Neodiprion lecontei: one gene and its partner. The protein of the gene in region 2 purifies or fractionates together with the protein of the main gene of each other region. This does not show direct contact. Links are inferred from orthologs where the notes say so. Each region holds a gene or a part of one and is shown on either strand. Other genes may lie near its edges. The genes, in order: protein lin-52 homolog and transcriptional activator Myb.

Region 1 (3,282 bases), on a different chromosome or scaffold from region 2:
ACTCAGAGATGGAAGAAGCACAGTTGTCTCTAATTGCGGAAGCTGTTGAAGCAGCCTCCCAATCAATGGATGTAGACTTAGAGGAACTGGTAAGTAAACTAATGTCTTCTACATTCTGCTAAGCTGCCACATAATGCTGAAGTGGTCCTAGATACTGTTCATTGATGTCCAGTGCATGAGGGAATCTTGAAGCATTAGGTAGTTTTGATAAAAAAAAAGAAAGAAATTCAATCATGTTAATTTGTTTATAAAATAGCTAGTCACATATTATTAGAATTCTTCCCATTCGCTTCTAGGCTAAAAGCATGTAGAACATGATACAATGCTCGACTGGCTCAAGGTCTTAATCAACAATCTTCCATTACTTCGCTATCCAAAGGTACTTACTTGATAACTCGTATAAATATGTAAGGATGAAATATTTTTAAATAAAATTTTGTGATATTTACATTTGCCATTGCTTTTCTCAAGGTTACATTCCGCATAGCTATCCCACTATTCCTTCAATCTTACAGGTAATCTCACCAACAAGTTGAACAAATTTTTTTAGAGCCAACTATCTAAGCAACTATACCGATAAAAACTTGAAGGTTTCTAGGCGGTATAATATTATAACATCTCTGATCAATTACATCATTGGATGTTGGTCAAAAAAAAAAATTTCTCATGGATATTGAGCGATAGAGAAGAATTTCTATAAAGATTTCATTCAAAAAAATATTTACATACATACATAAGTACACTTATTCTAATTTTATGAAACTATTTATGTTTAAATATGTTTAAATATTTTCCACGAGTCATTTCTTTGGCCTCTTCCAATCCCAGTTGGTACGCAGTATCGTGAAGTTTTTTAACTTCTGTAATAAGACCAGTCATTGAAAGGTTACCGAGCTCTGAAATAAAATGAGTAAACTGTTGAGTCTATAAGGGTCTTAAATCTAGAACAGAATATGGGATTCAAGGCAAAGAAGTCAGTTTGAGACACTTACGATGGAGTTTATTTATATCATCAGCTGCAAGAGTCGCTGCCCACGAAGGTGGTTCTGTTTGAGGGGAATTTTGAGCGACGTATTCGTTCACACCTGGAACTTCATCATTCGCTGATATAAACTAACTTTTATAAATAAAAAATTACGGAAATTTAAGACCTTGGGTAATCTAATGGTGAACTCACTTTGTTCAGGCCAGAGGTCCGGCGATGCTCGATCCAATTTTTCCAAGCTCATGAGACTCTCGTCAACCGCAAGCAGCTCTGAAAAATATAACAACAGGTATTCGCTTCTTGTTTACCATTCTTTGTTGAAATTTTAAATTACATCCTAACCTGATTCGTTCGCGGGTCCCTCGGACGCCATTTTGTTTATTACTTCATTTCCCGCTCTCTGCGGCTGGTTCAATCGGTTCAATCATATTTCAAACGGAGCAATATGGCGGTAGGTATGAGTATGCATGTGTATTCGTATGAATCGGTCACAGTGTTGTATGGGTTGTATGCATCACTGAACTATAATACAACGAATAGACCAGCGTCATACCGAAGATTCGCCGCTCTTGAGAACGATGCGCACCTGGTAGCGGACATTTGCGTTAAAAAAAATGTCCGCCGAGTTGTGATCATATACGTAATACTCCTACTAGTGTCTGTTCTGTTTCTCCATCGTGATTTCATGTTCATCAACTTCCGCCGTTCCATTAATCCAATCTGACGTGTAGAGACGTGTACCAAAAGTCAAACGCAGTTCACGTTTGTTAGGTTAAGTTCGTTTCTTAAAATTGATATTTACAGCAACGTGTTTTCAAAATGCTCGATCTCTTTACAATATTCAGCAAAGGCGGTATAGTACTTTGGTGTTTTCAAAGTACTACACAAATATTTACACCAAGTGTCAACGCATTGATTCGCAGTGTTATTTTACAGGCAAGTATTCAAAACAACATTATTACAATTACCAAGTGTTGACTTAATTTCCATTCATCGAAATCAACTGGTAGTCCGCGATGTTATATTGTGCTTGTCATGCTCGACAAGGTATTGAATCGTTGCAACCACTGGTTGGAATATCTTACCTTCGACAACTGTTCAGCCTGAACATATGGCAATGGATTTGCACTCGTGTGAATTTTGGTTACATTTAACTCTACAAAAATCATATTGTTGAAGAAGCATCTGCTGTATGAGAAAAGGATCAGCTTAGTTGATTTGACCTTTCAGTAACGGAATAAGTTATCGCAAAATAAATTGGCATATTATTTACAGGAGCGAACAGGTAGCCATACGTTTGATCATGACTCGTTGCGACTTCAATACAAGCTGGACAATGAATTTGAGCTTATATTTGTGGTGGCATATCAAAAGATACTCCAGTTATCCTATGTGGATAAGTTTCTTTCCGACGTTCATCTTGAGTTCAGAGATCGATACAAAAATGAGCTAGCAAAATCACAGTGGTTCTATAATTTTAACTTTAAGAATAGTTATGATGCCATACTAGCAGCTGCTGAGCAATGGGGAAAACACCAGGCTAAACTTCCAAAGCAGATGCGTACATTCGATGAAAGTATTAAATCAAAGAAAACTGTCGCTAGTATGATTGAAAGAAAGGACGACAAAGACAACAAAAAACAAGGTAAAGTGTTTAGCTATTTCAACTAAAAATCAAGATTTAACTATTCCATCTGGGTATTCATCCTGGTTTGCAAACTTTTGCAAGTATTTCTTACTTAGTAGACTTGTATATAAGAGTAAGAAACTTGTATCATTAGTTGGATATAGTTTTGATGCTTTGGGTTGATTACATTATCATTTACGTCCCTTCTTATCATAACGCTTCACTAACTTGGTATTTTTAGGAAAGAAGAAGAAGGGGATTTTTTCCAATGATGATAGTCATTGTAAGTGGTAACTGCTATCATTGTTGTGTGAATCTAGTTACTAAAATCGTATTCCTTTTTCACATTAATCAATTATTCTCACTGTAACCTTAATTCCTAAACATATTTCATCTGCTGGTGATTTTGAATGCAAGGATGTGGCGAGATTCCACAAGGTTTCTAAATTTGTGGAAAATCGTATAATGTTAATTCAAATTTTACATACGAAATTTTTCAGTGAAAATTCAAGAACCTGTCAAACCAGATGTACCAAAACAATCTCCAGTTACAAATGGAGAGTTGGACGAAGAAACTCTCTTAGCTAATAGACTCAAACTTGTACAAAAAATAGCTGGGCCAAAGAAGAAAGCAGATAAACAGTAAGAAGTTTTCCAAAATTTTGCGGTT
Region 2 (5,133 bases):
TCGCCTCTCGACATTGTTTATAATTCGTACAAACGAAGACACGAGCCGTGCATGAGAAAAACGTTCAACTACCACGGACTCGACTTCCAATTTTTTTATATTATCTACATCTGACTCTCCGCTCTTCGTATGGGGCGCAAGGAGAGTAAAGGATGGGGAATGGGAATGGGAATGGAGGGAAAAGAGGAGACGGGGGGGAGGAGGGAAGGGGGGGCCGGCGACCAGACGACGACGTAACATTTGAACCCTCCTCGGTTTCGTTCGAGGTTTCATTCGTTCCTCGTTCCCGACGATCGTCCTTCCCTACTCACTTACCACCGACTGACTGACTGTCTGACTGACTGACTGACTGATTGTCCTCAACGTTAGTTGCTATGCGGGACGACGCGATTGCGTCACACCGAAACCCCCTCTCTCCCTAATCGCTCTCTCTCTCTCCCTCTCTTTCTTCTCGCTCGCTATTATCAACGACGGAGAATTTATTTTTATTCTTGATAAATAGAATCACGCGAAAGATGTATCATCGTGAGAGGGAAGCAGCTTGCTGCCGTCTTAAAGCCACTTTTCTAATGATCTAGTCGTCATTGTGGATAAAAGACGTGTGAGAGCTTTCTTGTGTTATGAAATGAATAAGGTTGCTGGGTCAAGTAACATTATTGTAAAAACAGTCTTGTTACCGAGTTTAAACTGTAAGCACGCGTTTTGCTATTAAAGCATCTGTTTCAAAACACTCTCAATTTCGCTACCTGATAATTCTTTTAATAAACTCGCGAACCCAATTATCTGAACCTATGCATACCCTAGATAAAGTAAAATACAGTTGAAATAAAAGAAAAGAAAAAAGACGTTGCTCGATTTAACGATTGATGAAACTTGGAAATTAATTCATTCTATTCTGTTTATATTTTGAGTGCAATGATAATAATCCCGATGACAATGTAATGTTCTTCGTATTGTTACATATCGTATTCTTCCCAAAGGTTTCAATTCGTTGATTTGACTCCGTCGTTGGTGCAGTTTTTATTTTTTCATTCGATTCTTTTCAATGGAAAGCTGACACCGAACGAACCCTTTACTCGCTTCCTGCAAGATATACTCGATTTCCTGTGTATGTATATATATATTTATATGCATGTACCTCCCACGGCTGCTGCTGGCCCATTTCATCTCGCGTTTACGCGTGTGGTGATGTTGCCATGCTGCGCCGAGAGCAAATAATCACATGTATGGTGGACGTGTGCACACGCATATGGAAAAACAAGCGCTCTTTGTTTAAACATCGGTATAGGTACGCATATGCGATACGTTTAATAATGTATACGTATGTAGGTACACATATCCCACAGAGTTGAAACGTTCTTATTACGAATACAGAGTCGTTCTTTCATTGCGATTCGAACGTCCTGAGAACAAGGATAATTAGGATAACCTGGTCTGCTCTGTCGGAGATGGAAAAATACCATAATCCCTTCCTTCTACCGACTTTCCCAAAAGTTTTCACCTTTTTCAAAAATCTACTGAAAACCCTGAGAAATTTCATACGCTATTACACGAATATCTAGATCCTTTTTCTTTCGATCGACACACCTCGGAATGCGCGGGAAAATTTAAACGCGCTCTCGTGATTCGTAGCTTTTTACAGTTGCGCCTGACGACGAAGGCATCGAGATATAGAGTCGCTGTGCGTGGGGTATTATGGCATTGATAAAACAAGGGGGGGAAAGATAAACGGCGATAAAACAAGTAACGTGAAAAAATGAAACAGGAAGGCCCGGTGCGACTGCCGCGGGCCACGTGTTCCGGCAGACACCTGTCGTCGTTCTTTCTAGGTGAGCGATAAACGGCGAAGTATGCAGTCGAAAAAAACAAAAGACGGAAGAGAAGGAGGAGGAACGAAGGAACATTGAACCACATGTCTTACAAAGACGGAGGGGTGAATTTTTCACCGAGTTTTGGGAAGCAGGGGGTATTGATCGAACGAAGACGTTGTTTCGGATAAAATAAAACGAAAACATGAAAGAAGGCTGAGAATTTTTTTTTAAAAAACATGCTAAATCACACGCGACATTCGAATGTTGTATTACGAACATTGTAACCGTTGTTTCAAATGTGCCTAAAACAACGATCGGATCGTTACTAAAATGCATAATGTTGCAAGGTACATTGTAAGCGCAGCAGCTTAGATTTTGTTTACGCAAATATATATGTATATGTGCAAAGCTGCGGTGTAAGGATCCGTAGGGGAGTTGAATAAGTAACAAATCGCAAAGGATTTAAATTATGGAATGACGAATTACGCGGTCTTTGAGCACAGCTGATTACGCTGGCAAGGCAGACAACGCGTGTTGTTTACATGCGAAAGTAAAGTGACTAGCGTCACGAGATGTAATAGAACTGTCAACAATTGAGAATCGCCGCAGAGAGATTTTCGCGTTCGAAATAGATGAAGAAAAAAAAAAAAAAATGAAGAAGAAGAAAAAATGTAAGACGAAGAAGCGTGTTAGCACCTTGCGAATGTTTAGTAAACACCGAGAGACGATCATTGAATTGGGTAGCGAATAAATTTATGTATGTATGTACGATAAGTTGGAATAATGTATTTCTAGTCTTCTGACTCACCTAGCTCGATAAAACTGCATTTCAATCCGAGCAGGACATGTTCTTCGATCTTTTGCAATTCTCTCGGTAAGGGATTACTTGAGAGAATATGAAGTGTAAGCGATCTCTCTCTCTCTCTCTCACTCTTTGGTTAGTTATTATAGCATTATCGATTAGCTTTGAGCGTGCAGAGATGATAACAATATCTGCAAAATGGCCGACGCATCTATTTCTCACCCTCTCTGCACGCTGTCCGGGTTAATTTGTCAAATTAGTCGAAATACAGTTTTAAGCGTTGCACACACTGACTGATCACTCTCACGGATTTCGCGAATCGAACACCCCGAGAATTGTTTAAAGCACACACCGCACGATCATAGATTTATTTTGTTTCCGGCGCGAGGCGGGTGTTCTGTTTGTTTACACAAAGGACGACCGGCGGCAGCCTCGGTCCCCGAAGAATTCGTTAGGCGATCACCACCGCTGCGCAGGGTAAGTTTTCGTTTGCAGAAAATTATGCTGGCAGCGCGGGAACCGACTGTTTCGGTGACACTGGTGACATCTAGAAACTTCTGAGCGAAGTACCGGTGTGGCGGAACGCCGGAACGGAACCAAACGAACGGCGCCAACGGACGTGCGATGTTGACTTGTTTGACAGGCCGCTGATTTGTCTGCGAGAGCCTCGCGGTAAACGTTCGGTTCACTGGGAATTCGTTCTGTTTATTACTCGTCGGGATGAAATTCAGATGCAGAATGATCGACTCCGCAGCGATGCGCGACTTCACTAGTAAGAGGAAAGATCGATGTTTCACTGGCCTAACCATAACCTGTTTATAATTTATGTGTACGAAAAATGTAACAACTTTGTATATTTCAATCGATAGATGTGGCAAACACGGTATCCCGCCTGGCAAAGGCTTGCGTGATACGTCTTACAAAAGACGAGGTGTGCTTTCACGTCGGTGACGACTATTCGCCGATAGCGTGGGCTGTTTTGTACCAAAACAAATTCTTCAGCGAATACACCATGGTAGGTGTGTGCGAGGAACAGGATGAGATATACCTCGAATTCTCACCTGCCATGCTCGCAAAGAGCCTAAGCTCCCTCAAAATGACCGCCAAGAGCGTCAAGATCAAACTTACCAACAGAGAACAGCCATGTCTCACTATCGATATTGAATTACCTTCGATAAGCAACGAGCTTAGACAGTGCGTTCATGATGTACCTGTTAAAGTAATTCCTCGAAAAGAATGGGGGGAATATCAGGCTCCAATTATACCGTCGTTCGATGTATGTTGAAGAGACCTAATACTGAATCATATCGTCTGGCAACTTAGCTCGCGATCAAGTTTACTCCTGCAAATGCATCTCTATTTTTTGTTACAGGTTTCCATAGAGATGCCAGACATGAAACACTTGCGAAATGTTGTCGATCAGATGGGAAAAATGAGTCCACAACTTGTCGTAACTGCTAAGAAAACAGGGAAATTAATACTGAAGGTGGAAACCAGTTTTGCTACCGTAGCGACGCACTTTCAAGACTTGAAGGTTGGAGGAGACGATCGAGACTCAGGAGTAACGGATGAAGAAGAGGAAGAAGTTTCGGCCACCATAGATATTAGGAAATTTGGAATGTTTCTAACATGGGATATAATAAAAGCCGAAAGCGTAATTTGCAACGTAGTGGCTGACAGAATGATTAACATGCATATGAACATTGATGGACATTTAGAAATACACTATTTCATACCAGCCATTTCAATTCTGTAGAAATCAATTAGAATAATAAATTATAACTTTTTTTATATTAAAAAATTACGTATTTGTGCAACACCGGAAATTAATCGATTCAGATTCCTGATCGCCATATAATTCAAACAATTATCTCATTATGTATATGTAGACCAAGACAGTCCTCCAACGATGGACTTGCAGTAATAATGAATATCAATCTTTCTGAGATTGGTTGGAGTGCATTTTTTACTCTTTGAAAACAAAACAAAATTCATACAATATTTGGAAGTACAGCAGATATTCGGTCATGTCAATATTCCACTCGAATTGTATTCTTAATGCAGATTAAAAAATTGAATTGTGTAGTTGAATTAGAGTACCCACCGAATAAGATGTTCAACTGGCATATCTGAATTCGCTGAAAGATGAAATCGTTGACGGTCAAGTTTGCAATTCATCCAAGGTCCTATGAAAGTAGTCACTTGTTCAATGGCGACAGAGGTGTTAATTATAAGCCAAATTGAAGCTTCGCTCATGTTCCTGTCTAAAGTTTTGATGCATTTGATCAATCTGCTGTATCTTTGTTTGCAAAACTGACGTACGTTGATCGAGCCATTGCAAACTGTTCATATGTGCATTCAGTATTTTACCAATCTGGACAATCGGGTCACTTGAATCTTGAGATCTATTCGCTTCGTTAAGGTGCTCAATTATTTCTTTTAAATCTTCGGACATCTGCTTCAATTGGGTATCCAAATTTTCTGCAAGACGATAAGTGTATTCTCTCTCCGGATCTGAGG

Evidence for each region.
Region 1: the proteins of transcriptional activator Myb (region 2) and protein lin-52 homolog purify together in Drosophila melanogaster (affinity purification with western blotting; 3 studies listed by BioGRID, with this or other methods). This does not show direct contact. The link is inferred for Neodiprion lecontei from reciprocal best matches to the Drosophila melanogaster genes Myb and lin-52.

Annotation. Positions count from the first base shown.
Region 1 is NC_060265.1:25,299,397-25,302,678, forward strand, and holds protein lin-52 homolog, read right to left. Parts: upstream 1,629-3,282; 5' UTR 1,359-1,628; coding exon 1,328-1,358; intron 1,256-1,327; coding exon 1,178-1,255; intron 1,104-1,177; coding exon 993-1,103; intron 897-992; coding exon 763-896; 3' UTR 692-762; downstream 1-691. Other genes in the region: X-ray repair cross-complementing protein 5, read left to right, coding at 1-89, 297-311; signal recognition particle receptor subunit alpha homolog, read left to right, coding at 1,805-1,921, 2,261-2,630, 2,854-2,895, 3,113-3,254.
Region 2 is NC_060264.1:1,903,845-1,908,977, reverse strand, and holds the start of transcriptional activator Myb, read right to left. Parts: upstream 3,056-5,133; 5' UTR 2,640-3,055; coding exon of another isoform or gene 2,620-2,639; intron 1-2,619. Other genes in the region: checkpoint protein HUS1, read left to right, coding at 3,334-3,385, 3,483-3,889, 3,986-4,369; nuclear pore glycoprotein p62, read right to left, coding at 4,838-5,133. UniProt on the Drosophila melanogaster protein: DNA-binding protein that specifically recognizes the sequence 5'-YAAC[GT]G-3'. Component of the DREAM complex, a multiprotein complex that can both act as a transcription activator or repressor depending on the context.